Linked DNA regions of Tamandua tetradactyla. The protein of the gene in region 3 interacts with the protein of the main gene of each other region in a pairwise test. Links are inferred from orthologs where the notes say so. Each region holds a gene or a part of one and is shown on either strand. Other genes may lie near its edges. The genes, in order: FBXL18, DMRTB1, RBPMS and FOXP3.

Region 1 (7,506 bases), on a different chromosome or scaffold from region 3:
ACAGGCCTGTTCAACTCGGAGCCACTGGCCATAAGGCCTATTTATTTGTTTAAATATTTTTATTATAAACAACGAACATACAAACATTCTTGTCATGGTTACAATCAGTGGCTCACAATAGCATCACATAGTTGTATATTCATCAGCATGATCATTTTTTTGAACATTTGCATCTCTCCAGCAAAAGAAAGATAAAAGGAAAAAACTCATACGTGGTATACCCTTGACCCCTCCCTCTCATTGACCACTAGTATTTCAATCCACTCAATTTATTTTAACCTTTGTTCCTCCTATTATTTTATTCCTTATCCATATGTTTTATTCATCTGTCCATACCGTAGATCAAAGGAACATCAGACACAAGGTTTTCACAATCACACAGTCACTTTGTGAAAGCTATATCATCATACAATCATCTTCAAGAAACATGGCTACTGGCCATAAGGGCTATCTAAATTTAAATTAATTAAAATTAGGAATTCAGTTCTGCAGTTGCACCGGCCACACTTTGAGCGCCTAATAGCCTCGTGGGCCAGTGGCTAACGCATTGGACAGCACAGACATGGAACAGTTCCATCACTCTAGAATGTTCCATTTGGCAGTGCTGGCCTAGTGGGAAACCCAAGAAATGATACCAAGGCTATTTAGTTATACACTGTGATAAATGCCACGAAGGAATATTCTCAGGGACTGTGGCAGATGACAAGATGTGCTATGACCTGGTCTGGGGGGAGGGATGGCTTTCTGCAAAAGTGATATTGGGGGCGGGCCACGGTGGCTCAGCAGGTAAGAATGCTTGCCTGCTAAGCCTGAGGACCTGGGTTCGATTCCCGGTGCCTGCCCATGTAAAAAAAATCAAGATTTAAAAAAAAAAAAAAAGTGATATTGGGAAGATAAAGAGAAATTAGCTAAGGGTGGGGTTGTTGCTTCAAGCATAGTACGTGCAAATGCCCTGCACACAGAGTGGAAGTACCTTCAGGAGAACAGTCTGTGGCTCTGGGGCATGGAGGCCACCCCAAGTTGGGCCCGGTTAGCTGTGCTGGGGACTTGGGCTTCACTCCGAGAGCAGTGGGAAGGGAGTCAGAGAGTCTTGAGCAGAGGTCTGATATGGTCAGGTATGCCTTTTTCAAAGGTCCTTGTGGATTTAATGGCGGCAGTGGGGAGCTTAAGAGAAGGTGAATGTTCCTTCAAAGACACTGGCACAAGAAGAGCTCTCCTAGGAGGTTTGGAGGCTCCATCCACAGGACCTGCAGCTTGCCCTGTTCCAGCCTGGACCCCTTTCCCCAGGCTGCCCCTCGCCTCGGCCTCCTAACACCCAAGTGAGGGTTTCTCCTCCCTCCTGAAGTGGAGAATTCCTGGGTGGCATCGTCACGGGTATTGGAGAAGAGAGGCAGCTCACCTTCCAGCTCTACTACTCACCTGGATCTGTGTCGTCCTTTGCATGATGGGGACAATAAAAGGACACACCTACCCCATGGGAGCTTGGAGACATTTTGAGCAGGAGCTCACGTGACCGTGCTGGCAACAAAATAGGGGTTTGGGATGGTAGCGGTTATTACTGACATCAGGAAAGTCGCTTTTCCCCAGACCCTGCCTCTCGATGAAATGGATGGAGCAGAGTCCAGCAGCCAGCATCCTCATCATTTCCAGCCTCTACCCCAGATCCCAGGGGACCCACTTGGCCCAGTCCTCAGTTCTGGTCATGGATTTTTTTTTTTTTTTTGACATGGGCAAGTACCAAGAATCAAACCCAGGTCTCCGGCATGGCAGGAGAGAATTCTGCCACTGAGCCACCATTGCACTGTCCTGGCCTCGGATTCTTGTCCTCCACCTGGGCCAGCCAGGAGCTGCAGGAATGAGGAAGCATCACCCACAACCGACCCCCACCCCCGAAGGGTCCATGAGAGGGTAGGAACAGCGAGGCCGTGGAACCCACTCCCCACCCCCATCTCCTCCAGTGCAGTGGTTCCCAACTTAAGTGTTCCTAAGAATTGGGGCCACATGTCACATAAGGGACTCCTTCCTCACTGGAACTAATAATAATCAGTGATAACAGCTCCCCTTTATTGAATCCCTCCTCTGTGCTGGGCACTTTTTGGTATTACCTCATTTTACCAATCACTCATTCAACAAGTATTTACCATGGGCCTGCTATGCTAAGCACAGTTTTAGTGGGGAGGCGGAAAATACAGAAGCCAATTCAAGTAAATATCATGAAAATCGGGGGCAAGGGGACTTTGGTAGATTTTTTTTTAACTTGAAAAAGATTTAAGAAAGGGTGGGCCACGGTGGCTGAGCAGGCAGGATTCTCGCCTGCCATGCCAGAGCCCCGGGTTTGATTCCAAGTGCCTACCCATGCAAAAAAAAAATTTAAGAAAATACCAAGTAAATGCAATGAATAAATCCTTCTTGGACCTCCTTTATTTGCCTAAACAAACTGTAAACGGATTTTTGACATTTGGGAAAATTTTAATTTCTCTTAAGTATTAGATGATATTAAGGAATCTTTAATGTTGATAAGTATGATAAATGCTTTGTAATTATATAAGAAATTGTGTTTTTTTGAGATGTATATTAAAGAATCTGGAGGTGAAAGTACACTTGAAATTTGCTCAAAAATACTCCCCACCCCACCCCCCCAAAAGATTAAAGGTGGGGAGGAGTAGATATAATTTGAGTCGCAAAATATTGCTGGTTGTTGAAGATGGATGATAACGGGTAGGTACATGGTAGGTACTTTTGCGTATGTTTGGAAATTTCCACAATTAAAAAAAAATCTCTTAAAAAAAACACACAAGTCAACAGCAGTAAATAAAAGTTTCTAACAGAGAGTATATGGGAAAAGAATGTGGTCCGAGAGGCTGAGCAAGAGAATGACAAGAAAGACCTGCTCCCAGGAGGTGACACTTGAGTTACAACCAGAATTAGCCAGGACTAGGGACAAAGCATTTCCCAATTAACAGGAACAGGTGCAACGGCAGGGGGAGAGGCTGCCAGGGATGGAGGGAGCCGGCAAAGGAGGAGACGCAGAGGCGCAGGAGGATGGGGGAGGCTCCGCTAGGGACTTGCCTGGGTCAGGGTTTGGGCTCTCTTGCTTGGGCTCCAGAAGTAAGCCTCCTTTAGTGCTCACTTTGGCTGCGCCTGAAATTGAACTTGATGCTTAAAACCATTTGAAGGCAGAGCTCATCAGAAGCCTCTCGGTGGGAATGACCGGCTTTTACGTGAGTCGAGCCCTGTGCTCGACTCTCTAACGTGGGAGGGAAATGAAGCTGAGGACGGCATGAGAGGAGACAAGCCTTAGGGTAGCCGGGATTCAAACTCAGTTCTTTCAAAGGAGCTTGTCCCACCAATTTTCGATATTGGGAAACATTTTTTTAAATGGAAGGGCTTAGGGGTGAGAGCCTATCGTTTATCCATTCATTCACCCAGCAAATATTCATTCAGTGCCTCCTACATGCCAGGGAGAGTTCTAGCTAATGGGGGTCCTGCCTGGCTTACATTTTACTGGGGGCAGGGCAAAAAAAAAAAAGATGCAGTAGGTCAGATTGAGCTAGGAGAGAAATAACCGGCCGAGGGCATACTGCGGTGCACGGAGGGTGGGGAGGAGGTGCTGCTAGTTCAGACAGGGCGGCCGGGAAAGCCTCTCCGGCAGGGGGCCCCGGCAGGCAGGGGAGACAGCAAAAGCGAAAGGCGGGAGCGGGCTGGGCCTGCGCGAGGAGGCCACTGTGGCCGGAGAAAGGGAGGCACAGGGGTGACAGCTGAGGGCAGAGAGGGAGCCGGGACCACCCGGAGTCATTCGGGGCTCTTCGGGTTCACTGCGCTCCTTAAGCGAAGCCGCGGGGCCCCCTGTCCCTGGGCGGTGCCGCACCCAACATGGCGGCCGCGCCTGAGGCCGAGCGGAAGTGCGTAATCAAAGCGCCGGAAGTGGAGGTGGCCCCGCCCCTTGCCGGGGTCCCTGTGAAGCGGCGGACGCGCCGGCTTTGAGCATCTCTGGCCGGGGAGGCGGGAGGGCCTGGGACTGCAGCCCCGGCGGCCGCGGCACGGCACGCCCACGACATGGCCAGCTCCGGAGAGGTACGGCGCGCGCCTCTCTCCGGTTTCTTCCCCGCCTCGGCCACGCTCGGCCCTCACCATCCCGCCCCCGGACCCCTGTGCGTCCTTCCCAGCCTGACCCCCGCCGCGCTCCGTGCTATACCGGATCCCGGTCACGCTCCGTCTTTCCTTTCCCGACCCTGGACCCGCTCTGTTCTTCCCACCCCGAACTCTGGCCCCGGCCCTGCTTGATCCTTCTCACCCCGATCCTGGCGTCGGCCGGGATTGGTCATTGCTGCCCTGCCCTGGCCACGACCCCGCCCCTTCCTTCCCATCCCAAACCTGCTTTTGCCCCTCTCCAGGTCCTGACCGGTCACCCTGGCTCTGTCTCCAGAAGCACAAGGTCTCTCCCCTTTCGGTTTTCCGTTTCTCTACCAGCCCTCGATTCCTAATCGCCAGAGGCCCCCACCCCCACGACTCCGCCTCCCAAGTCTCCAGGACTCTGTAAACCTCCTAGACTCTTGCCCATGTCCCTGTGCCTTGGCTCAGGTCTCGCGACTCTGAGATTTGCCGCTTCCTACCCACTCCATCTTCTGTCTCGAATGCTCAGTTTCACTCCAGGTACTTCTCTCTGGAGCGCCCTGTTGTGTGACTTGGGGGTGATGAAGGAAAAGCTTCCTTATGCCGCTCTCTGTAAATCTGGGTCCGATGGAGAATCCAGATGCATCCCTGTAATGTGGGACGAGGTATTTCCTCTGCAGACGAGGGCTTAGGGACATCTGGAGTAGTCTCTTCCCCTTTTGGTGCCCCCTTCCTTCCTGTATGTGTACCTGTGTATATATCCGTGGCCTTCCAGGTGTCCCACTGTGGAGTGTACTTCCTAAGCCCCGGGGGCTTGCCTGTGTGCTGGAAATAGGACTACGAGGTTTCGAGTGTCTTCCTTAGAATTGATGGGCATGGGTGTGTGGCAGGCGGCTGGGAAGTGCTGGCAGGTACTCTTTGAAGTGAATTTTGCGCATAAGTGTCCCCTGTGGCTTCTTGGTTGAGACGGAAGGGTGAGGGGTTGACCTGCAGACTCATGACGGGATTGGAGAGCCACATGGCCTGGCGCCCTGAGGAAGAGTTCTGGGTGGCCTGGCTGTGTTAGCAGATTTAAGTTAGTTAGGTGTGTTTGGGGTGGGTCTTGACTCTCAGGCCCCACGTGGACAAACGAGGTCTGCCTCTTGTTGCATTGAGCCCTCTTGGGCTAAGAGAAGAGAAGAATGTGTGCTTTGCCCTGGTTGTGGAATCAGGGTCCCTTTTTCTGGAATGGCCTATTTATCTCTTGAGATAAAATTCATATGCCGTAAAATTCACCCTTTTAAAACTGCCATCCACTGGTTTTTATCATAGTTCACAAGGTTGAGCGATTATCCCCACCACCTAACTCCAAAATGGGGTGGTCTCGTTTCAGAAGTCATTGCTGACTTGAAAATGCAAATGCCCAGGACTCCTCCTGGGGTTTCTGAGGAAACCACGTGGTTAATAGCATTTCAGGTGATTCTGAAGCAGGGGTGGCGTGGACTCACCTCGTTCAGTGCCTCTCCCTCTTGGTCTTCACAAAATAGTTCCTGTCCAGGAACGGTTCCTGGTCTGCTGGATGAGATAAGCAGCATACTTTCACAATTTGTCCTGGGGGAGGGAGTGGACCTGCTGCCCCGGGGATCTAGGGAGGGCTTTACTAGGGAAGTAGCCTTTGAGCTGAGGTTCCAGGCCGCAGGCGTTTCCTCACGGGGCGTGTCTGGTGGAGGGAACAGCTTGTGCTGTTGGAGGTGTTTGTATCAGGGAACATTCCAGAAAATACTAACTAGATAAGCGAAGACCTAAGAAGAGGGACAGTGTCGAAAGAGTGGAGACCTCAAAATCATGTGTCCTTTCAGATTGCGCCTGTGATTAAAAAAAAAAAGTTATAGTGGAAAATTCCACATACTTGCAAAGGAATGATGTAACGCGCCTCTTTTTTGTGTACTCGTTGCCTACTTTCGGTAGTTATCCGTATGTGACCAATCTTGTTTCATCTTTGTCTCTTCTCTTCTCTCCCCTTTCCATTATTTAAAACACATTCCAGATATAGCATTTGTCTGGTAATGAATCCTGTGATTTCTTTGGGTGCCTGATTGGTAAATGGATCAGGACCCTTTCTACAAGAGTGTATTTTGGGGCAGATATTGGGGTTTCAGTTCATGTTCTGTATTTTGAAAAGTATTCTTTTAAGAAGCAGAGTTTAGTGAATAATAGCTGAACTCTGTAACCCACTACTCTTTAAGATACCCTCAGGTTGTCATCTGGTTCTAGCCAAATGGTTGACAGATTGGCCTGATAAGAATCACTTGAAACTATTAAAGGCATTTTTTCAGGGCCTGCACCTCAGCCCTGGATTGAAATTTCAGGGGACTCAAGAAAGTGCCTGGGTGTGAACTCGTTGGAAGCCCGGACAGTCCTTTTTTGGTGGTGGAGGGAAGGGTGGTTTCGGTTTCGGACGTTTTGACCCTGCCTCAGTCACTGCTTGTCCTTTGGCCTCAGATTACTTACATTTTTTTTTAAGAAGAGGGGTTGGTCTGCCTCAGTTTCCCTAGTGGCTGAGCACGTGTTGTCCTGAGAGATTGTACAAGTACCGGTTTGTGTGTGTGTGTGTGTCTAAGCATATTCTGGGCCGCTTAAAAAAAAATTATTTGAGGTGAAATTTACATTACTCAAAATTAACCATTTTAAAGTGAACAGTTCAGTGACATTTAGTATATTTGGAGTGTTATGCAACCACCACTTCTGTCTCCTTCCAAACCATTTCTTTCACTCTATAATAAAACTCTGCACCCCATAAGCAGCCACTCCCCATTCCCTCTTCCTTCAGCCCCTGACAATCACTAATCTGCTTCTGTTTCTGTGGTTTATCTTTTTGGATTTTTCATATCAGTGAAATATTTTTGTCTTTTTATGTCTGCTTATTTCACTCTAATGTCTGCCGGGTTAATCTGTGCTGTAGCATGGATCAGCCCTTCATCCCTTTGTATGGCTGCATAATATTCCACTGCATGTATAGATCCCATTTTACCTAACCATTCACCTGTTGATGGTCACTTGGGTTGTTTCCACCGTTTGGCTCTTGTGAATAGTGCTGCTGTGAACACTGGTGTGCAAGGGTCTGTTCTCAGTTCTTTTGGGTGAATCCCACCTGGATGTGAGATTGCTGGTCTGGGCTACATTTTATTTTACAAATTGGGAAACCGGGAGGCCCACACCCGCCCTTCCATGGACTCTTCTGGTGTGTTCTTGACTCTCCCTAACTTCCTCCTGCCCTGGGTGGAAGGTGCGTCAACCTGCAGAGGGTCCGATCTTTGTCCCATGAAGCCTACGTTTCAGGGATAGGACTGAGTTGTCACAAACTCAGCAGCCATCCCCCCGGCTGGCAGGAGGTTGGAGGAAACCAGCACGCCT
Region 2 (7,512 bases), on a different chromosome or scaffold from region 3:
GTACTGTGTCCCTTCTACCATAACAGGGGGCCTGGCACAGAGTGGGCACACCATTTTTGACAACTGGCTTCCTGGGCTTGAGGATCCATAAAGCTACTAAGGGCGATTGGGATAAGGAGGAGCCTGGAAAAGAGGCAGGGATGGGAACTCACCAAGCTTCCTTCAGGCTGCTGACTGCAGGACACATGCCGGAAGCCCCGTTGCAGGGGTGTCCCTGGGGCTGGGGATGCATCCTGGTAACCCGGTGGGAATGGGTGGTAGGAGTGCATGCTGGAGCAACTGGGATACAGCTTGGAAGGTTCTCTCTCTCTCAGATACCCAGGCCCTACCACACCATCAGGAGAGACATTCAGAGGGTGGCCTGAAGAAGGCAAGCAATAGGGAAGCATTAGAAATACAGAGCTGGGGAAAAGAGCATCACATTACTGTCCAACCAAGGATAGCAGTGTAATAAACATTCATATGCATTTGCAAAGAACTCCCAAATCCATTACGTCTATGAACCTTGCTCCTCTTAAAACTCCACAACTATGTCCAACCACTCTTAGAAAAAGTTCTTAGCACAGTCTGTGCAGCACCATGGGGTCTGGTTCCTGCCTCCACTCCAGCCGTATCATAAACTGTAACCTCATTCATCGCAAGGCCTTTGCAGATGCTGTTCCCTGGGCTTGGAAGGCCTTATACCGTAGCTCCACTTTGCCTCCTTGTGTGCTCATCAAGTCCTATTCTTCCTTCAGACCTCAGTTAAATCATCAGTTATTATAGCTTCATGCATTTATTTGCATGATTCTTTGATTACATGCTGTCCCTCCCACTAGGACTACAAGATCCTTGAGTGCAGAGAATGTTGCTTCTTTCTTCATCATTAGTGTCTGTTGAGACTGTGACCCTGGGAAGGCAGCCTTCTCCTATAACTGCTGTTTCAGGTCTATCTTCCCCATCAGACAGCTGGTTTCTTGGGAAACCTCGATTTTCCTAGAATGCCCCAGAAGACAGAAATGGCCTTCAAAGAGTATCCAGACCAGTCTCAGTAGGGAGATACAGAGAGGAGAGAATGGCATAGAAAGAAGCAGTCTGCTCAAAGTTGAGCAGCCTTCCTCTCCAACCACCCCCCACCCCAGCCTCTGGACTCAGACCTGTGCTTTTCAACCATGTTGCTATAGGTAAGATACCGAGAAAACATATCCACACTAAAAAGAACCAGTTCTGAAATCCAAGAATGAGCTGGGACTCAGCATCAAGGGATTGAGAAAACCTTCTCGACCAAAAGGGACAGAGAAATGAGACAAAATAAAGTGTCAGTGGCTGAGAGATATCAGAATCGAGAGGTTATCCTGGAGGTTATTCTTATGCATTAGGCAGATATCACCTTTTTGGTTCAAGGTGTATTAAAGAGGCTGGAGGGAAGTACCTGAAACTATAGAGCTGTGTTCCAGTAGCCATGTTTCTTGAAGATGATTGTATAATGATATAGCTTTCACAGTGTGACTGTGTGATTGTGAAAATCTTGTGTCTGACACTCCTTGTATCTATGGTATGGACAGATGAGTAAGAAATAATGGATTAAAAATAATAGGGGGAACAAATGTTAAAATAAATTGAATAGATGGAAATACTAGCAGTCAGCGAGAGGGAGGGGTAAGGGGTATGGTATGTATGAGTTTTTTCTTTCTTTTTCCAGAGTGATGCAAATATTTTAAGAAATGATCATGGTGTTGAATATACAACTATGTGATGATATTGTGAGCCATTGACTGTAGGTGTATGGAATGTTTGTATGTTAAGAATGCTTATGTTTGTATGTTGTTTATCAATCAAAATATTTTTAAAAAAAGAACCTGTTCTGAAAGCCTCAAATCTATAAGTGACTTGAAATTATACTTTAATACTGAATGCTGTAAGATATCAGTAATAATGTAATTTATGCAAGGGTGAGGGACAAAAAAATTAAAGACAGTAACTTCTCAGTAAACCAACTGCTCCTCTCCAGTGGATGTAGGGGGCCGCGGGTAAAACCTTTTCTCACTCCCGCCCAAGAAAATGGAGGGAATGGGTGCGCAGGCGCATCAGGCCAGAATGCTTTTTTTTTTTGTCGGGCAGTCTTCTGGGAGGAACCTCAGCCCACCAGTAGGAGGGGTGGGTGCGCAGGCGCAGGTCCACCCACAGAGTAATAGGCGGGGTGGAAGGACTCGCAAGGCCTAGAAAAGAGCAGCAAGGGGTGCGCAGGTGCAGGTGCGTTATACCAGGGCCCTGCTAAGGACAGATCTTCAGGGCAGAGTCTCCAAACTACAAAAGGTTGCGCAGGAGCAGCCAGAATTGAGCCTGCCCACCGGCTGAAACGCTCTGGGGGAGGAGCAGCCAGTCCAAGAAAAAGGCGGGAAGAGGTGCGCAAGCGCAGTCGGACTGGTCTCCACAGGACGTCCCCACCGAGGAGTCACAGCTAAGCTGGCGTGGTAGCCATTTTTTTCTTGCAAGATGGAAAGGCAAAAACTGTCGCTAAACGTTAAAAGTCCTGTGGACCACTCATTCCTTTCTCTTTTTTTCTTTTTGCAAAAAGGCACCAACCCAAGCCCTGTTCAGAGAAAGATTTGTCAAAGCAAAGGCTACCTCTTTTCCCCACTTTCCCCCCCCAACTGCCTACATTGGCGGTTCCGGGCGGGCCTGGGAGCTCCCGGAGCAGGGAAACTACAGCCTGGAAAGGAACTGGCGGTGGGGCATGCCTGCACGGGGCCTGGGAATCTTACCGAAATCGGCGAATGGTGGGCTGGAAACGGGCCTCAGCAGCCTTGGCATCTCCAGTTGACCAGGGTATCCCCTGCCCGCGGCCTCCGCTTCGAACTGGGGTCCCACAGAACCCTGCATCGCCGCCCCGACTCCTTCATTCGGCCTCACGTGGCCGCGGCCTCCCAGAACCGGCTGGAAGGCGCTGGGGCCTGGGCTCGGGCCCGGCGGGGGCCTTTCAAGGAAGCGGGCGGCCGGAGGGCCGGGCTCTGCATTTCTCGCAGCGGAGGGCGGTGGCAGCGGGCAGAGGCTTGATCCGGGGACGGCGACCATGGCCCTGGAGGCAAGCTCCGGCCCCTGCGCGCCCAGGGCTATCTGCTCCTCCTCAGACGTCTCCTTCTTGAGCACCTTCTGCGCCGCCATTATCTTCTGGCGCTCGGTGATCAGATAGCACTTCTCGCAAAGGCACTGCTTCCAGCGGCATTTGCCTGCATGGCCCTTGACCGGCACCAGGAAGCCATGGTTCCGGCATCGGGAGCACTTCGGGGTACGCAGCATCTTGTCGGCCTGCTTGGTAGGGTCTGCTTGTACAACCTCCCCAGACGGTAGCTGCAGAGCGAGTGGAGCAAGGATGAGCGGCGCCCCAGAAGTCCTTGGTGCTGGGGACATTGGATACACTTGTAACAAAGCGGCTGGTGGTACGTCCCGGGAACTGCAGCAAGACCCTTGCAATTGCCCTCCCTTTTGGGGGGGATGCAAAATTTGGAGAGTCCCTGAATCTCTGCGCCTTGGGTAATTAGGTGCAAAGGTTGGGCTGAATACGTTTTTCATGGAATGCTATTGCATGCACGCCATCTGGGTTGTCTGAAGTCTCAGACATTTAATTTTCCAAAGTTCTGATTCCCGCCACCCCAGATAGAAGGTATTTTGCAACTTCAAATAAGGCGGAGTCATATTCAACGGTCCACAGATTTAAAACTCCAGAGGAATGTAGTGCTCTGTAAACCCATTCCAGTAGAAAAGCATTCTCACAGGAAAACCGTGTATCACCTCCCAAAAGCTGCTGCTTCTGCTGAATTTCATTTCTCTCCCCTGCAGAGAAGCAACCGGTCACAGTGTGATGCTTCCAGAATATTCTCAAGAGCTCGGTGCTGTGTGATGATTGCTCCAGGGTAATTCCCAGTTCTTAAAAGAGTCTTGCTGGTACAGGGATGCATTTCTGGAAGGTAGGATATTGCTGTGTTGATGCCTTCCAAAGTAAAACATTCTTAGGACATCTTAAAGTAATATAGTCTCGGGATATTCTACTAACTTGAATCCTGGTTTAGTTTTGCCTTGAATTTAGTGATCTCTGTAAACCAATCCAAATCTCAGGATACCTGAAAAGTGACACTCTGAGGTCTTTTGTTGTTGTTGTTTAGGTTTAAAAAAGAGAACAAGAGAAAGGGGCCATCAGTGCCTAGGTGACAGGGTCAGTCATATAATTATTTAAGGAGGTAGTTGTGGTTAATATATATATGCATATATTATATATATATATGGCCCCATAGGTAAAAAGCAGGCAAGCACTTTTTTTTTATTTCACCCAGTTCAGAATGTCTTAAGTTTTTCACTGATCTAGTCATTTGAAAATGTTACTTAAAATCTTGGCTTCAGTACTGCCACCAAAAAATCTGGGGCATAAGCTGCATAGTTTCATGATACTGCAGATTATAAGATCATTTTGTGCAATATCAAATTTAAATTGTGATATCAGATGATGATACTTTAAAAAATAACTACTCTCATTTACATTTCATGCTCGACTATCCAAGCTTTCTTCATTTTCTCATTAATGATTTAAAGAAAAATCCTGTTCAAAAAAAAGAAAAATCCCATTTAAAGCAAAGTATTTGAATTAACATATTTTATAGTCTTGTTAACTACAAAATGCTTCCATATTTACTTCATAGCTTTAGGGGCAAAATACACCCAAGTTGATGTGAATTGGCATAGTGCTTTGAGAACATTAATAAACAACATAATATCTTTTTAATCAGTAGTCACATAATAAGATGCAGAAACCCCAGGGTTGATATTGTAAACAAATCTAAGAAAAGAAAAAAGATTATTTCTTTATTCCCCCCCAAAGTCTCAATTTGTGTAGGTAAATTCCAGCAGAGCTTTATTTATTTCACTCCTGGAAATTCAGGAAAATTGATAGTTTTGTTTTATTTGGTTTGATAACTGAGGCTGATGATGAAATGAGATGTTGCTTTTTGTTTTTAATATATACATTTGTTGTTATTTAAAAGATGGGAACATGATGTAAAAGTGGAAAACTGGAAGTCAGAAAAACATGGGAGCAGAAAGCACACAGTAGACCCCTTCCTTCTCCACACCTAAATCTTAAAACATTTATGTTTTAAGAAAATCTGAATTACAGACAGTCATTTATAAAAGGACAGATTACAGTTGCTGAGAAATCACCGGTTTGCTAGAGAGTCTGGGGTAGTGATCATATCTGGCTCCCAACTTCAGGTATGGCTCCCTTTTCCCTTGGGAAAAAGTTTCCAAGTTTCCTATATAATTCCTCTTCACATCAGTTAATATGAGTACTTTTGGTATTGTTAATTCATTCATTTTAAAGAGCCTTGTATTACACAGTGTACATGGGTATCATCTATAATCATTAAATATTGCATGCATTGTAATGTTTCCCTACTGGTAGCACAGTAGGAGTAAGGAAGGGCTCTTTTGTCTATAGTATCCCTCCCCCAGCAGCTATAACCCATACATATATTGTGAGCATGAAAACTTTAATGAAGATTTTGTAAAGGAGATGGGAGAGGATTTACATTACACATACCATAGTAGATGCTTTGAAATCCTGCATTAGCATTTCTGTTATCTCAAAACCCTCCTCTGCTGTGCCATACCCAGTGAAGATATATTGATCTGTCCTTCCCCTGAAACGCAGTGCCCAGCATTGCTGACTCCTCTGGCCTTTCTTGATTTTTGTCAGCTTTCTGGGGATTAAGGCTGTTGCTATCTTATTTTTCTTTGTTCCTCGTCTGTTTAAAATTCCTAGCAGAGGTCAGATGAATCAATCATTGGTGCCCCAGAGTAAGGAGGAAAAACCTTGCCTAGCCCATAGTGGAAATTCATTAAATATTTGTTGCATATACAAATAAATCCTGCCTCCCTCTTCTGCCGAAGCCAAAGTTATCTCCTCCCTAATTTGCACAGTAAATCAGCTTGGTTTCAGCAGTTTTCCCCAAACATTATACTAGTGTTCAGCAAAATAGAGAGCCCACAGTGACCTCTTTCCTAACATAACAAGATTGGGGTATCAACTTTGATTCCTTGAGCTCACCCCACACCCTTATATCCCTAGTGGTGTAATAATAGTAAAAGTATTTATTGGTGCCAGGAATTCTTAAGTTCTTTATGTATAGTAATTTTTATAATTTTCATACTCTTTAAGGTAGTTACCACAGTATTGCCTTTGTTTTGCACATGAAGAAACTGAGGCCTAGAGAAGTTGAGTAACTTGCCCAAGATTTCACAGCCAGTAAGTGACAGATTCAAAACCAGGAAATCTGACCTTAAAGTTCACGCTCTTAACCAGATATTTGCTAACCAAATATTTCTTCTAAACAAGTGCTCTCCCCAAGAAAGCTTTGGTGATGAGTAGAAGTGTTCATCTTAGTCTAAACTCATTACAATTGAGGCAAAAGTAGTTGAAGGTGGTAGCAACTTGGGGAAACTTCCTAGGATATTCCACTGCTTTACTCCACCCATAGCCAATATGTATTGAGTGCCAGCTGTGGACTAAGGATAAAGGACAGGGAAGTAAATTTAAAAAAAAAAAAAAAAAAAAAGAGGATCCTTGCTGTTCTAGTTTGTAAGCTGCCAGTATGCAATATACCAGAAACAGAACAGCTTTTATAAGGGAGAATTTATTAAGTTTTAAGTTTATAGTTCTAAGGCAGTGAAAATGTCCCAATTAAAGCAAGTCTATACAAATATTCAAATTAAGATATCTAGAGAAAGATACCTTGGTTCAAGAAAGCCGATGACATTCAGGGTTTCTCCCTCAGTTGAAAGGCACATGGTGAACATGGCGACTTCTGCTAGCTTTCTCTCCAGGCTTCTTGTTTCCTGAAGCTTCCCCAGGGGCATTTTCTTTCTTCATCTCTGAAGATCTCTGGCTGCGTGGGCTCCCTTGGTTCTCATGGGTCTGTTGCTCTAAAGGTTTTTCCAAAATCGTTCCATCTTAAAGGGCTCCAGTAAGCAACCTCATCTTCAGTGGGTGGAGACACACCTCCATGGAAATCTTCTAATCAAAGGTTACCACCTACAATTGGGTGGGTCACATCTTTGCGGAGATAATCTAATCACATGCAGTGCTGAATAGGGATTAAAAGAAACAGCTGCCTCCCCAAGATAAATCAGGATTAAAACATGGCTTTTGTGGGGTACATAATCCTTTCAAACCAACATACTTGCCTTTAGGCATACATTCTAGCTGTCAATACAGACAGTAAACAATAATTTCAGTATGATGAAAGCAGGGGGAATGGTGGAGTGGCAAGGAGCCCAGGATGCTTTCAGAGCCAATATGGAGGCTCTAACCAGGTTTGAGAGACCAAGGAAGACTCCCAGAGGGACTGATTGCTAAGCTGAGGCCCAGAGGAAGAGTAGGAATTAGCTAGCTACAGAAGCAGGAGAAGTATGTCTGGGGCAGAAAGAACATGTTTGAAGGCCTGCAGCATGGCTGTCATACAGCAAAGTTGGGAGACTGGGGAG
Region 3 (8,256 bases):
ATCTCATGTAATTATAGTCTACTGTTTAGTTAAATGTCCGCCACCAGGTAAGTTCAGTCACCTTTTCTCCAACCTGCAATAACAAGACTTCACTAATAGAATCCTCAAGTCTCTTCCAGCTTCCACCTGACTTCAAAGCCATTCCCATATGTTTTATATTTGTTAGATCAGGACCCCACTTCTAGATACCAAATTATGTGTCAGTTATATATTGCTATATAATAAACCTCCCCAAAACTCAGTGGTTTAAGACAAAGCATTTACATTTTGCTAACAATTTTGCAATTTGGGTAGGGCCCCAGTGAAGGCAGCTCATCTCTCTTCTATGTGGCATCGGCTGGGCAGCTCAACTGGGGTTGGAGCAGCTACTTCCAAGACAAGGCTGGCAAACTGGTGCTGGCTATCCACGGAGAGCTCAGCTGGGGCTGTAAGCCAGGGACCGCCTTGTGGGACCTCCCTAGGTGGCCACTTGGGCTTTCTCAAATAATTGGAGAGAAGTGACTGGATCTCAGAACTATTTAGGAGGTAGAATCAGGAGGCAAGACGATAGCCTGAAGGTGGGCTGAGGTGTCAGGGATGACAAAAACAATAACACAGTCTCGGAACTCAAGAACCTTTTTGGTCCAGTAGAAATGAACAGACCATCATGACACGTGGTAGATACTGCAGCTTTCTGCTGCATGTTTAAGAGGTCCAAAGCTGATGCCACAGAAACAACCTCAAAACAGACTTTTAATGTCCGCAATTCCCAGAGACAAACATTTAAGACATAATTATAGGTTGGAACTTCTTAAAGCAAACCTCAAAAATGAACACTGCCAGAGCAACTGGGATGAGTAATAAAAACTACAGGTGTACACAGTATTTCCTTTTCAATCAAGCATTTAACCTCGTGGGCCAAATGGCAACGTGGTAAGGTGGTGGGCAGGGGAGGAAGCAGAGGTTTCCTGTTCATTACCCCATGTTGTTTCTAGGACTTATATCCCATTTGCTGTCTTAGAATTCTTTGTATACCAAGAAACTATTGCTACTGAGAAGCTCTCACTTTTTTTCTTTTAAGTAGTAAACAGGTCATAAAGACCATTTATATCCTGATTGAATGCATATTATTTTCTCCAGAGTCAAACTCCCTTCATTCCCAAAGTTTTATAAATAGCAAAAGTCTGTTTACAGATTCTCAGTGGGTCTTGTTTGATAATACAACATTGCTCAATTGTTCTTTCAAACAGGTCTAAACAGTTCTTTACAAAATGGTCAGAAAACAGAAATCTCTCTTTTTCACAGCATATAACCCGAACCTTACGCACTTTTCTGGGAACACCTTGAATTTCGCTCTTACCATTAAGTATTTCCTAGGTCTTCCTCCTTTACTGTCGATACAGCAGTGTAATTACATTTTTTATTTCTTGAAATCTCATCAGTTGTCCCATTCTGCACAAGTTCTTAATTTAGGGTCTGTCCCTTGAAAAAGGATGACTGAAGACCACTGCCATGATGCCCCTTTGGGCTGTTCAAGATGCCACCACTAATTCAGCCCTTCCCACAGGGTCTTAGAAAGACTTGATGTCATTTGAGCCAGGGAGTCAATAACTGATAAGATTTAATGTGCTCATTTGTTCAAAAATAATTACTGAGTGTCATGTGAGTGTTAGGCACTGTCTAGATCTTTGGTACATAATGATGAACAAGCCAGACAAGGGTCCTCTCGTGGAATTTATTTTCCTTTTTTATCCCTGGGGTTTTTGACTTCTAACAATGGACAAAGTCTCAACTTGGCTTCAAGACAAAGAATCAAGTTTTTACTTTTGGAATCAAGCCACATTTCCCTGGGCAGGGGCAGGGGCAGGGAAGGTCCCCCCAGCATCCTGGACTCACACAACATACTCCACCTTCTCATAAGTGGGGTCTGACTGGAACCATCAGTGACCAGATCAATGGCCACTTTTCTTGGGCCTTTGCCAGATGCCAACAAGACAATGCCTTTCTGTGGTGTGTCTTCAGCAGCAGGCTGGGATAGCCAAGGAGGGCAAACTGCTGGCATTCCTAGCAAGCATAGGGGTCCAAGACCACCACTCATTCGTTGCTCAGGAAGACACTGCCCCCAGGTGGTGACCTCATACAACTGAGGGAGTATTAGCAGTGGAAAGGGCTTTGCCAAGGTGTACTATCCATATACTGGCCAATACAAGGAGAACCAAGAGTTACCAAGTTTTGGGAGGAACTGTAGCCCTTGACTCTTCTGGATTCTTAAGTCACCACTTCAATAGACAGTTGGTTTATTTTCAGCCAGGATATATTTTTGTTCCCATAGACAGGAAAGATATTATGACAGCAATTAAAGAAAAGTATTTTTTTTTCTACAGTAAGCTTCTTTATCAAAAGCTTCGGACCTCCAAATAAATCCCAATTTAGGTCCAAGTACCACTTTACTGTTTTTCTCTTCATAATAGTCATAATGCAAATATTTTTTCACTTTGCTTTCTGCAATTTGAACCAGAATTCTGAGATTGTGTTGATGGGAAATAGTTTTGGGTAGCTTGTCTCCACAACACCACTAACTCCCTGGGGCAGGGGCCTTATCTTCAACCCCCACCTCCACACCCAGCCCACTCCCTGCAGCTCTTAAACCAGCGCAGAGTAAAGAATGTCTGGTGAGGGGAGAAAGAGATAAAGTTAAACAAGCAAATAATTAGAAATTGTGATTGGTGCTGGGAGGGAACAGGAGGCTGTGAGAGAGAATTCCTGGGGATCAGGAAGTGGAGGAGAACCTACCAATATGGGGTTTTCCATTTTTATGCTCCTAGCAGTCGAGTTTGAAAGCTTAAAGGATCCATTATTGGAGAAGCTCTCTTTGGCCCAGTAGTAACAAGTGCAATTTTCTTAATGTTAGCTTCCACCTACGGTTGGACTTAAACTAGGCAAGAAGGGGTGCTACATGCTATCTCTGTATCTATCCATCCATTATCTCCTTTTATCTGCAAAACCCTGGGAGATAAACCTCAGCATTCCCCTTTTACAGACGAGGAAACAGTTCGTGCTTACTTCCCAGAACACTGAGGCCCCTTTCTTTATACTTACTTTGAGCCTTTTAAAGATCATCTGTAGTGTCTCCAGTTCTGCTAGCGGTGAGGAATATTCACTTAGCCAACAAATATTTATTGAGTGCTTACTATGTACTAAGTCGTGTATTTAAATAGTCACGGGATTAAAAAGATAAACAGGGCATGGTCTTTGTCTTCCAGGAAGGATCTCCCAAAAGAGCAAGGGAGAAAGCCAGGTAAACAAATAATTCCAGAACAGTCTGATAAGGGCTAAGAGAAAGGGGTCTCCGCGAGGGCCCTGGGAAATCCGGCGCAAAGCCACAGTCGGTGCGGGGAGGCAGGCGAGACTTCCGAGAACCCGCGCAGGAGGTAGGTTTCAAGTTAGGGTGGGAAAAAGCAGGCTCTGGGCAGGCTCTCCCCGGGTCTCTTGAGTTACTTCACCCCGTCATTTCAATCTGCCGGTTCAGAGGGGGAAGAAGCTATGTCTGAACTAGTACAAAAAAGAGGAGGGGTAAACTTAGGGAGAGGGGTGCAAAGCCCTCCTGAAAAGGAAGCCAACAAAAGTAACCCATTACAGCTCCGGGTCCCCGCACCGGCAGGGGCCTGGCTCCCCGAAGCCCCTCTGCACGCTCACGTGCCCCCACACGCGACTTCTCCAACTCAGGCCCGGCTCGGACACCCGGGGCCCTCGGAGCCGACTTAGGTTGGGGGGACCCGGACCTTCTCCCCTCTCCCGCCCTTGCCTTCATCCTCGGACCTACCGCGAAGTCGGGGGCTTCCGCCCCGCGTCCCCTCCCCGGAGCGCGCCATCCGGCCGCTGGGCAGCCGCTCTCGGCGCAGCCCCTCCTCCCGCAAGGGGGCTTCGCCGGCCCGGGTCCCGTCCCTCAGGGCCGAAGGCTGCAGCCCACGTCCAGGGAGGGCGGAGGGAGGAGGAAGGGAGGCGGGGTGGGGTGGGGTGGGGTGGGGGGAAGAGAGGAGGGAGGAAGGCCAGAGAAAGGGAGCTGCCTGGATCTCATACTTCCCAGAGCCTGCCTGGAGCGCGCACTCAGCGGCTCTCGCGGCCCCAGCGTCCCCGTCGCGGCCCGAGCCCCGCTGCCCGGCACCTCCTCCTCCTCCTCCTCCACCTCCTCCTCCTCCTCCTCCACCTCTTCCTCTCTGGGGACCCTTCGTTCCCCCCCCCCCCCCCCCACCTCCGACTTTTCGCTCCAGCGGCTGCTAGGCTCGGGCAGTGGCAGCCCAACTCGGCCACATCCCCAACTCTCTGGGCTCACTCCCGGGACGCGCGTCCTCGCCCCATCCTTTCTTCCTTCCTTCCTTCCCTCGCGCCCGCCCTCCCTCTCCAGGTCTTTCTCCCGGGTCGCGATTGTCTCCGTTCCCTTCTCCGGCTGCCTGCGCCCTCGCCCTGCCCAGTCTCTCCCGCGCACTTCCTGAGGCGCCCGCCGCCGCTGTCCCGGCTCCAGCCCCTGCAGCCCGCGGCGCCCCGCCCGAGGGAGCCCCGGCGCCCGGGGAAGGGAAGAGCGGGCGAGCGCGCCCTCGCCCAGCCCCGCGCCCCAGCCCTGCCCCGCGAGCCAGGACCGGGAAGATGAACAACGGCGGCAAAGCCGAGAAGGAGAACACCCCGAGCGAGGCCAACCTTCAGGAGGAAGAGGTACCGAATGGTTCGGTGCGGTGGTGGGTGCGACCGGGGATGGAAGCCGCCGGCTCTTTCCAAAGTGCGGGCGGCCGGGAGGGAGAAGCCGGCGGGGCGCGGGCTCTGGTCCTGGGGCGCAGGCGTGTGTGTGTGTGTGTGCGCGCGCGTGTGCGTGTATGTGTGTGAAGACGGGAGTTTGGGGCTTGACCTTGCCCCTAGAGATAACCCCAAATTTGGCCCCGGGAGGGTGTATCTTTTGTGTGTCTGCGCGCGTCTGCATGCCTAAAATTGCGTAACTCCGAGCATTTTTGGAGACTTTTCTAAGTATAATGCTCAGCTTTGTTTGCCCGCGATCTTAAAAGAGGAATCGAGAGGTGACTCTTGGGTGACCTCAGATTATTGGGACCCGGAAGGTTAGAACTGAGGCTGAGGCGCTGTGTGTGTGTGTGTGTGTGTGTGTGTGTGTGATTTAAGGGAGAAACTCTGGGAACTCTTCTGTCCCCAGCCCTTTCAAAGTTAAAAGTTCTGGGTAAAGAACTTTTTCTTTACCAAAAAACTGAAGCATTTTGGATTAATAGATAACATCCGCCGCATTCTTCTCTGATCCGCGGCATTCTCCTCTGATGAGTCAAAGACCCCGAAAGTGGGCGATAAGCTTTAGCAAGTTTGGGGGCGATGCCGAGGTAGGGAGCAGAATAAAAGGGTTAAAAATTTTACCGTTCACCAAATGACCATCGAGGCTGTATTTACAGCACTTTGACTTTTGAACATAAACTTTATTGGTGCGTCCGAAAAAACCATAAAAATGTTTTGGCTGCGGAGCGTTTCTTTGGTGTAAACACAGAAGTCAGTAAACGTAGGGGGCGGCCCATGAGAAAACTTTTCAGAATTTTGCAGTTAGGATATTTGCTGGTATCCTATCAGATGACTCCATTCCTGCAGGTACCGTATCTGCAGTTCAAGATCTTATATAATTGAGTTCTTAAACATTCTATAGTGTGTGCAGATATCTAGATATAACCCATAAAGCATTCCTATAGGTTTTGCATTCTAATATAATAAATTAAACATGGAATGGTAAACTTATTCTAAAGCGGTTAGGAATCAGATTGCTTCGATACCGTGTTGTGTGCAAATGAAAATTCTAACAGTGAAACCGAACATTAGAGAGTAATTCATTAATAAATTTAAGCGCATTGTCCATTTGTAATATGGGAACTATTTAAACCTGGAAGATAGAGGAGAGAAACAAGGACCATGCAAAAAATGCAAAATAAATATAAGATTTTACGCTTATTTGCTGTGTTTTAGTGTAACCTAAGTGAATTGAATGAAGACAAAAGTTGCCTTCTCACCTAAGGGTATTATCTGTTGTATTACAAACTATTATCTTGAAAAGTGTTTACATATTGTTGTTTCATAATTACAAAGAAAGTAATACTACTGGTATTTCTTTTCTTTCTCAAAGAGGTGGAGACTTGAACTGCAGATTCCACTTTTTTCTTCATCCTTGCTGGCTGCTTTGCTATTTATTTTTCCTTACCACTTATAATTTTAAAATGATGGCAAGTTTACTCTTTTAGGGATTGCTGTATTGATCTAATACACTCAACTTCTCAAAATGACAATTGCTTCAGAAACCTTTCTATTTCAGTTAGATTGGCAGTCTGTCTACTTATAAGAGTAAGAACATATTGTTTGAAATCATCTTGATCCGTTCACCCCATCGAGAAAACTCATAAATTGGAAGAAGTCAATCAGGCAAACTGAAGTTTGGTTTTTTTTTTGTTTTTTTTTTGCTTTTGGTATGTGGCTCAAGAGGTTGGAGTGTCCTGGAACCACAAGTCCGAGAAAAGTCACATTTTTCTTTCTGCTTGACCCACTCGACTGAAGCACGCCAAAAAGGGAGGTGTTGCCTGCCTTGCACTTGGGACTCTCTGGCTAGAGTTCGCCAGGCTGTTGAATGAGTATATTCCCAGGCCCTCGCGGTGGACGTCACTGTGCAGTGGACCTGACTCTGTCCCTTCCAGGTGGGAATGACATGTGGCTCTAGAAAATGCCAGTGTTTTGTTTTAGTTTTTAAGAAAAATACTCTTTTTTAAGAAAAAAAAAAAAAAAAAAAAAAAAAAACAGGAGGACCGTCAAGAAAATTTCAGAATCCAACTTGACCGAGAGGTGGGTGTCACCTAACAGATAACACTGTGAAGAGAGGGTCTGTATAGTGTTAGCAATTCAGGAAAAGAAAAGAGATTGGTCCAAAAGATCCAGGTAATTTGGCATCAGTTCCCTGGTTTGGGTTTATGTTTTGTTTTTGGACAACTCCTAACCTCTTTTTTTTCTAACCCTGAAAACCGCAAAGTAAAATAAATATGATTTTTGGTGAGTCCCACTCATGTGCTCAACATTGTATAAAACCACGGCACTGGACCCTTTTCTGCCTGCCCAGCAAATCAGCAATTCCTCCCCAAACATGTTTAAAGCTTTGGCTTTAAACAGCGCACACATGTACAATGCGTATATACAATAACATGAGGAAAAATGTGTTTTCTGAACTGTTATAGAAAAGTGAGTCCGATCATCATTAACATAGTTTATTTATCATTAGGGTGGTTTAGGATTTCTACTCTATTATATGTTTTTAAAATATTTTTTAAGTGAGTTCCATTTATCATCCTGTATATTTTAGCCCTATATGAGAGCCTCTAATGCTTATTCTGAACCAATGATGCTGAAACACCTACCTGGTTCCAGTTGTATAGAATGAACAGAATAAGATTTATGATAATTTCTATAGTTTTTTAGGGTTGGAAGTTTTTGAGAACTTGGACAGTTCAGGTACTTCCACTTTGGATAACACTTAAAACTATGAGGAAAAATGATTCTAAGATTTGGCTAGCCAGCTGTGTAAGGGAGATAATTTTCTGCTTGGCTTTCTGGTTTTAGTGTATTATACATATGTATTCCTATAAAGTTGTTCCTATAAAGAAAAACCAGTTGTTGAGGTTTTAATGGATGCTGAGATTTATAAGGCCTATGTATATATATGTATGTATATGGCATCATTTTTTACATCATTTTGCAATTAATAAAATTCTAGAATTTGCCTTTAATTTTGGAACAGACAACATTCTCTTAAAACACCTTTGGCAGTTTGCACTCAATCAGACTATTACAATTTTAAAAAATGTAAATATGGGTCATAGTTATTTGTCTTATGTAACCAGTTATCATAAGTCTTAATACATTCAAATATAGTGAGACTTTATCTAGTAGAAAGAAATAATTTACTTATTGGTCAGTGAATTTTTCAAACAAATTTCCTTTTTCGAAATCTTATAAATATGTACATTTCAGGCTGACTACAAATCATTTCTAAAAGGCATTTTATTATGTTGAAGCACTGTTAGAGTAGTTTCTCCTTAAATCACTTTTACCAAACTGACTTGTGCTTAAAACAAAACTGAAATAGCAAAATCTTGGCACTGCTGGAATATCAATCGGAAAGATGTTTGGCAGATGTTGGACAGAAATCACGTAAAGTCAGTTCTTAAGAGGTTAACACAAATCTTTACTTTACATTCCTCC
Region 4 (7,870 bases), on a different chromosome or scaffold from region 3:
CCCTGCAAATTAGCGTAGCTGTTTCTGCCGCCAGTCTGTGCTCAGTAAGTGTTTGGCTATTTGCTGTTGATCTGAAAACTTGGAATCATGATGTCTTGGGATCTTAGGGTCAGAAAGTTTGTAAGTGGCAGGTGGCAGGTCCCCAGGCCTGGGTGTGTCTGGAGCTGGGGCCAGGGACCCCTAGATCTCTAGGGCTTGGGCATAAGAATAGATCCCCTGCAGGTACCCCCCCGCCCCCCACCCCCGCTCCCCGCCATCCCTGTCAGTCTGTGCAGCCTGTGGGCCTGAGGTCACTCACCGCAGAGGGAGCCTTCGTCAGCGCCATCTTCCCAGCCAGGTGGGCCTGCATAGCACCCAGCTTTTCCTTCTCCAGTACCAGCTGTGAGGACAGATATCCACTTAAGGCCTCAACCTAGCCTTTCTCTGCCAAATCTTTGCCCAGGCTGTGGTGTTCCCTGGGCCTGGTCCACCCCCCACCTTTATGCCAGCCTTTCCTGGGTGAGCTTGGGTTCCCGGCACAGGATGGACATACAGTTCACTCACTACCCCCCACCCCCACCCCCAGTGTCACCTGCTGCTCCAGAGACTGCACCACTTCCCTCTGGAGGAGGCATTGCGCCCTGCCCTTCTCATCCAGGAGATGATCCGCCTGGCAGTGCCTGGATTGGGGGAAGATTCCAGGTAGATGACCATGGCAGGCCTGGCCTCCTGGCTCAACATGTGGAGTGGGGTGGGCCCTGACCCTCTGGGGGCACTTTCCTCTGAACCTCAGCCCCTTCACTCCTCTCTACTCTAGTCTTCCTCTCACACCTGTCATGTCTTCAACACATGCCACTCGGCACCCACCGTGTACCAGGCCCAGAGCTTGCCACTTGAGCTTGGTCAGGGTACTGGAGAAGCTGTTGGCAGGGTGGTGAGCTGAGAGTGGGCCAAGCGGAGGGGACAGCCTGTGCAAAGGCCTGGTGGTGAAATGGAGTAGGAAGTATTGAATTGCCACTAATAATTGGGTATAGTTGGAGAAGATTTTGTGTGTGTGTGTGTTGTGTGTGTGTGTGTGTGTGTGTGTGTGTGGTGTGTGTAGTAGAGGAGGGTAGTGACAGCCATTTTGAGAAGCTGGGACTCTGCATGAAGGATAGCAGGGCAAAGCAGTTAGGAGCATGGATTCTGGAGCGAGGCTGCCTGGGTTCAAATTCCAGCTCTCACACAGGAACTGGGGTGATCTTGGTCAAGCCACTTAAACTTTTGGTCTCAGTTTCACCGTCTGTAAAATGAAGGTAAATCACAGTACCCACCTGTGTTCTTATGCTCATTATAGAGTTGAGGAAACTGAGGTCCAGAAAAGCTAAACAACTTGTCCAAGGCCACACAGCCAGTGAATGATGGGGCTGGGATTTGAACCTAGAGTCTCAGCTCTTCCCTGCCTTGGCTTACTGCCTATTGGGATGAGGCCTGAGCTGCACCCCAGAGATGCCCCGCAACCCAGGATGCTCCTCCTCCCGCTGGACTGGGGCTGGGCGGGGCCACTCACTTGAGGAAGTCCTCTGGCTCTTCGAAGACCTTCTCGCATCCGGGCCACTTGCAGACGCCATTTGCCAGCAGAGAGTAGGAACCCTGGGGTGCAGCTGAAAGGGTACTGGGGGGAGAGGGGGTGTCAGGGGGAGGGGGCAGCAGGGCAAGGGTCTCACCTAGCCCCACGCACTGACCTGTCCTTCCTGGGCACGCCAGGGCTGGGGAAGGTGCACAACAATGCCGGCTCCCTGGATACCCACTCCAGGCTGGCCACGTTGATCCCTGAGGGTGGGGACAAGGCACCTCTAGGAATTGTTGGTTGGGCTCTGGCGCTCGACCCACAAGGCTTCTCATTTTGAGCCTCCCACCCTCCTGCACCTCGAAGGCCCTGACTTCCAGGGGGCTCCGCTGTCCTGAAATCCCAAGGCTTCTGACAGACCAGCTCAAAGACTGTCATTCGCAAGCGCTGACATTTTGACTAACTTTGCAGAGATCTGCGGTTCCGTGATTTTGACATTCTGTACCTTTTAAGGTTCTGAGCCTGACATTTTTGGGAGGTTGGAGTTTCCAAGACTCTGAGACTTGACACCTCTGACCTCCTGGGGACTGTGTTTCAGAACAGCCTCCCTTGCTCACGTTCAAGGGTTTGGGGACTCGGGGTAATGTGAAGCTGTGGGGTGGGGGTTGAGGTGTTACCAGTGGCAGACCTGGCCGGGCCTTGAGGGAGAAGACCCCGGTGGCAGCAGTTGGTGGCGGGAGGCTGATCATGGCTGGGCTGTCCAGTGGGCGCACCTGCAGCACGGGTGTCCGGGCATGGGCATCCACTGTTGAGAGCTGTGAGGCACATACAGGCCATGGTTCAGCCTGGCTTGGGGTGACCCTCCCCTTACTTAGTTCACCCACCTGCCCCCTCCTCCTTGCCTGTTTTGGGGTCAGTACCTGATGCATGTAGTGTGGCCTGTCCTGGAGGAGTGCCTGCAAGTGGGGCGAGGAGCCCAGCCGTGCACCGGAGGGTGCCACCATGACTAGGGGCACTGTGGGAAGCTGGGGGAAGAAGGAGGTGGGTGAGCCCCTTGTTCTCACTGTTTTGCCTGTCTAATTCAGATACTCTTCCCCACAACCCCACATGGTAGGTACGGTGATTATCCCCACTTTACATGTGTGGAAACTGAGGCTTAGAGATATTGAGTGACTTTTTAAAGATCACCAAGCTAATAGGTGGCAGAGCTGGCCTCAACCCTGTCACCTCACCTCCTCTGGCCCCAGCCCTCTCCTCGGTCACACGGGGATGGGGACACATGGCTGTGCTCACGGAATCATGACAGGGCCTCCTCCTCTCCTGAAACAGGGATTGGGAGGTCGTGGAGAGCCTTGAATCTCTGAGACCTGCTAAATGGGGACTTTCTTGGCCCCGTGACATCTGCATAAGTCACAGACTTGCCTGGGACCTAGAAACCACTTCCTGCGCCCCAGCTGGGCCCCCCGCCCAGTGCCACAGTAAAGGTCGGCACCTATAGGCCCAGGTACCCCACCCTGCCTGCCCCATCCTGAGCCCTGGGCCTCACCTGCAGCTGTGAAGGTGGCATGAGGTTCGAGGTTGAGGAGGAGGCATGGGTCCCACCTCGGAGGTCCCGGCCCTGGAAGGTTCCCCCCAGACCCCTGGCCCCCAGCAGGTCTGAGACCTTGGGTGCAGCGCGCCAGCTGGGCGAGGGTCCTGGGGATGGACTGAGGGCCAAAGAAGGGGCCGAGGGCTTGGCTGGCTTGGGGTTGGGCATTGGGTCCTTGTCTGAGGGCAGGCTGCAGAGGGAAAAATAGAGAGAATGAGTTAAACATGTGCTGGGGAGTGCATGAAATACTCAACCGCCTGAACCACGTGGACACCCACTCTGGGCAGAACAGGCATTGACTGGGCATGTCCTGAAGACCCCCCAGCTGAACCCAGCTCTGGTCATGTATGCACACACACATGTGCAGATGGATGTCAGGATCGCAAGTACACATGTGTACCCCCACACACTCCATGCACAGACATGCACAGGTCCAGCTTATGGCTCGTTCACATATGCTACCACAGACATGGTTTGGATGTGTCTTCTGAGGGGCAGTAGGGGGTTCAGGTGGTGCCTGGAGCCTCAGTCAGAGTAGGTCTCAGGCCCTTCCTTTGCCACTAAGACCTTGTCTTCAAGCCTTAGCCCTTTGGTCCTCTCTGCCCCCTTCACAGGGCAGCTCATCCCAGCCACCTGAACTCATTGTATCTCCATGGTTTGGGCATGTGCTGGGATTGAGTGGGGCGTGGATTCCAAAGATTCATTTGACTGCTGTGAGGATGACAAACTGTAGGAAGGCCAAGGCGGGAACTGAGGGACAGTGAAGAGGCTATGGTGAGATTGCAGGTGAACAGTGATGGTGGCGAAGACTGGGATGGTGAGAAGTGGGATATTCTGGGGATATCTTAAAGGTGGAGTCAACCTAATGTGCAGATGGCTTGGATGTGGGGGATGAGGAAGGGAGAGTCAAGGTGACTTCTGGGTTTTAGCCTTAGCAGCTTGGAAGGACAGACTGAAATGGTCTGAGATAGGGGTGAGAGGGGGTGGCAGGTTTGCAGGGTGATGATGTAGATGTGGATGGATACAATGACTCTGGCATTAGATGTGCAGTGCAAGTGTCGAGTGGGCAGCTGACAGTTGCACTTGTCCAGCTGTTCAGGGCAGGGTTAGGCTAGGTAATCTCTGGACTTCCACCTGCCTGGAGCCAGGTGCCAGAGAAGGGAGGTGGGGGAGAGAGGCCATCTCCTGAACTGGGACCTGTGGGAGCTCCCCAGCCCAGCTCCAGAGTTTACCCTGATCTCTGCTCCCCAAGCCTACTCCTGAGCCTTTGTGTCCACTCCTCCTCCTCTATCCAAGCCAGGAAAGGTCTGCTGTCATTGTCCTCACCCAGAAAGCCATCCACAATGGCTCCAAGACGCTCTGCTGAGCCTTGCAGCCTTACACTCTCCAACAGACAGGACCCCCGTTTCTCAGAATCGTGGAATCCTAGTCTGAGAGGAAGTCAGAACTGAGCTGAAAGGGACTGCAGGTCCAATCCCCATTTTACTGAACAGGACACCCGAGTGCAAAGAATTCTGCAGTCCCACGGTGACTTAAGACCTCCATTTCTTTCTCCACAAAGTGTTCCTGTGTGTGTTTGTGTGTGTGTGCGCGCAGCTCACAAGCCAGCTTCTCTGTGTGTGTGAAACCCACCATCCCATCCCACCCCGGAGCACTGGGTTGGGCACACAGCTGCTGACAGCAACCTGGGAGAGTACAAGGAAGGTTCTGGGAGAGCAGTTGCTCCTTCCTTTCTTTGCTGTCACCTCGTGGTTGTCAGAGTTGTGGTGCCAAGGGAAGTGGGTGTTGAGTCCATGCATCAAGGAGGGTGTGAGCTCTTGGTCTCTTGGGACTCTTGGGGGTTTAGAACATTCATTCGTGAGAATCAGAAGCCTGAGTCTATGGGGGCTTGGAACCAGAGCCTGGGAGAACAGTGGTGACCATAAGGAGGTGAGTGAATGAAGGAAGGAATGAGTAGGTGTTCTCACCCCCCACTGGCCTGGCCCACCTGGCTGGCCTGTGGTCACTTCTGAAGCTCCCCGGACCTATGCTTGGCAGGACTTTATAGGAAATCTCCCCCGACACATATGGAATGGCTCGACGTAGGCATGCATAGACACATTCTCAGAAATGGGACCTGGATATGGTCTGTCTGGTGGGGTACCCGGAGGGCTGGGCTGGCCAGCCGGCTTCCTGCACTGTCTGTCGGGGCGTCCCTTTCTGAGTAGGTTTCTCAGAAGCTGCCTGGGGGATGTTTCTGGGGACACAGATCATCTTCTCGTATCGGGGTCTGCATCTGGGCCCTGTCGTCACAGCCCCCAACTTCCCCCCGATTTTTCCGCCATTGACGTCATGGCAGCCAGATGCGCCTGGCTTCATCGGCATGCAGGAGGAAGAGAAGGGGACAGATACCCCACCCCACGGGTTTCGTTCTGAGAATTGGCCGTTCCATCCTTCAGCCGGCTTGGGTGCTGGCGGATGTGGTCGGTGACGTCCATCTGGCCGCTATGACAAGCCCTGGGCCCTGTAATGCCTGTGGCGCTTCTTGGAGAAGTTCAAGGTTTGAAGCTTGAGGTGAGGTGCGGTGTCATGGAGGTCCCTTCCCCATAGATACTGGGACCTTAGGGAGTCTTCAAAATGGCACAACCCCAGAACCTCAGAATACTAAAACGTCATTTCTTAGATTCAAAGGACTCAAGAATCTCAAAATCCCTGACTCTGGGAGGTCCATGGGGCTAGCTTCTCAGTATGTATAGGCCAGGGGCCCTGGTTTCCAAACTCATTGGAACTCCCTGATGGACGGGAAGCTATCAGGCCTGGAATTGCAGCGAGCCTCCTCTCAGCCTCCCTTGTGAGTTCTGTGAAGGCAGTATGGTCAGAATCACCCCCTCATTTCCCTCAGCTGGGGATCAGTTTCTGCCCCTCACTAGCTTTAACTCTCCAGCAGGCTCCTCATATGTAATAGTAATTGACCATAATCCTACCCATCTTCCAAAGTCAGTGCATGTGAAAGGCTTGGCAGAGTGTCGATGATTGGTGGGTAAATGATAGTTACAGGGTCCTGGTTTCCCTGCCCATTGTGGGACAGTGTTCCTAGCATCATAGCCACCCCACCAGTGATGAGAGAGGCAGGAAGGGGGAAGTGGAGGCAGTGGGTGATGTCCATCTGACCACTGTGACCAGCTTTGGGACCAGTGTATCTGTGGCAATTCTCAGGGCTGTGGAGAGGCTGAAGGTTTGAAGCTTGGAGGTGGCCATGCCTCATAATGTGAGGAGTAAAAGCCCTGGCCTTTGCTAGTACTGACCCCCACAACCAGAATCTGAGGAGTAAAAGCCCTGGCCTTTGCTAGTACTGACCCCCACAACCAGAATCTCTGGAGGGGCCCAAGGGAAAGCGGTCCCCAGGAACGATTGCCAGCTCTGGGGACCTGGCTGCACTCTGTCCACAGCCAGACCAGCAGATGGGTTGACTGACTTCGGCTCCTCCATTATCACCACCCTCTGGTCACCTGGCTTCTGGCCCTTGGGACCTGGCTCCCCACCTAGCCCAGATCTTCTGAGTCTGTGCCCCATGTGGTAACCATGGCTCCTCTGGCCTGGGTCAGGGCCCAGCCTGCAAGAAGGCAGGGAGGAAGATGGCAGCATTTGGGGGCAGCTTGGGTCCCTCACTGCCCTCGTGTGCATTGAGGGATAAACTGAGGCCCACGGTGAGGAAGAACGGAAGGGTCCCACTGAATTTCCTAAGATGTGGGCTTGGGCTCAACTCTGCCACTGAACCTCTGGGAGGCCTTGGGAGAGGCCTTCCGCCCAGCTCCAGGCCTCAATTTGTTCCTCTATATGCTGGTGAGGGGAGAGGGTTAGGGGTAGGTGAGGGTCAGGATCCCTTCAGTCTGAGTCTGGGGGAGTCATTAGGTGTCTATGGGGCTTTGAGTCGACAACTACTCCTCTATCCAGGGCTGAGAGACAAGGATACATTGAGATGAAGTAAGACAGAAACAGAGAGAGACAGAGGCAGGGATAGACAGACATGGGAAAACAGAAAGGTACTAAGAACAAGAAAGAAAGAGAAACAGAGAGAAATAGCGTGTGGCAGAGACAGACATACACAGAGAGAGACAGGGAAAGAGAACGAGGGAGAGATAGCAAGAGATATTTAGAGAAATAGAGGGACAGAGACAGTGACAGAGAGAGAAGGAAGGAGGGAGAACTGTGGAGACAGGGAGAGGGAATGGGAGAGAGAGAGAAAAAGAGATACCCAGAGGCAAAGAGATACATAGAGACAGAGAAAGAGAGAGAAGAGAAGAGAAGGGAGGAGAGGAGAAGAGGAGAGAAGAGAGGAGAGGAGAGGAGAGAAATTGCCCCAAATAAGAATGATCGCTGGTCTGTGTCTGTAGGAACTGAGGCTGCCTGAAATAATTAACGGCAAGATGGTCCAGGTATGTTCATGGCTTGTATTGCAAAGCAACCAACCAACCAGCGTGACTTTGGTTCAAGAGCAGACAACTATAGTAATGGAACAGAATAGAGAGCTTGGTCACAGACCCACGGACAAATGGGAATGTAGTTTGTAAGGAATGTGACAATTTCAAGCTGGGGGATGGTGGAGGGCGGATTGTTTAGCAAATTATTTTTGGGATAATTAGGGGGAACATAACGTTATTGAATAATCAGTCCATGTTCCCACCAAACCCTTCCTGCCCACTTTGAAATGTCACCATCTTCAAAGACCCTAAGATTCTAGGACAATTAAAGAGATAGATAATACTATCTAATAT

The links.
Region 1: the proteins of RBPMS (region 3) and FBXL18 interact in a two-hybrid assay, tested with the Homo sapiens proteins (2 studies listed by BioGRID). The two-hybrid records come from large-scale screens. The link is inferred for Tamandua tetradactyla from reciprocal best matches to the Homo sapiens genes RBPMS and FBXL18.
Region 2: the proteins of RBPMS (region 3) and DMRTB1 interact in a two-hybrid assay, tested with the Homo sapiens proteins (2 studies listed by BioGRID). The link is inferred for Tamandua tetradactyla from reciprocal best matches to the Homo sapiens genes RBPMS and DMRTB1.
Region 4: the proteins of RBPMS (region 3) and FOXP3 interact in binary tests that used the Homo sapiens proteins (3 or more experiments, as listed by UniProt). The link is inferred for Tamandua tetradactyla from reciprocal best matches to the Homo sapiens genes RBPMS and FOXP3.

Annotation. Positions count from the first base shown.
Region 1 is NC_135349.1:4,673,894-4,681,399, reverse strand, and holds the start of FBXL18 (F-box/LRR-repeat protein 18), read left to right. Parts: upstream 1-3,953; 5' UTR 3,954-4,056; coding exon 4,057-4,074; intron 4,075-7,506. UniProt on the Homo sapiens protein: Substrate-recognition component of the SCF (SKP1-CUL1-F-box protein)-type E3 ubiquitin ligase complex.
Region 2 is NC_135328.1:168,179,367-168,186,878, forward strand, and holds the start of DMRTB1 (doublesex- and mab-3-related transcription factor B1), read right to left. Parts: upstream 3,421-7,512; 5' UTR 3,391-3,420; coding exon 2,745-3,390; intron 362-2,744; coding exon 153-361; intron 1-152.
Region 3 is NC_135352.1:13,318,777-13,327,032, reverse strand, and holds the start of RBPMS (RNA-binding protein with multiple splicing), read left to right. Parts: upstream 1-4,577; 5' UTR 4,578-4,623; coding exon 4,624-4,689; intron 4,690-8,256.
Region 4 is NC_135353.1:120,889,760-120,897,629, reverse strand, and holds the start of FOXP3 (forkhead box protein P3), read right to left. Parts: upstream 3,305-7,870; 5' UTR 3,285-3,304; coding exon 3,075-3,284; intron 2,554-3,074; coding exon 2,449-2,553; intron 2,344-2,448; coding exon 2,208-2,343; intron 1,795-2,207; coding exon 1,704-1,794; intron 1,634-1,703; coding exon 1,529-1,633; intron 660-1,528; coding exon 572-659; intron 380-571; coding exon 299-379; intron 1-298. UniProt on the Homo sapiens protein: Transcriptional regulator which is crucial for the development and inhibitory function of regulatory T-cells (Treg).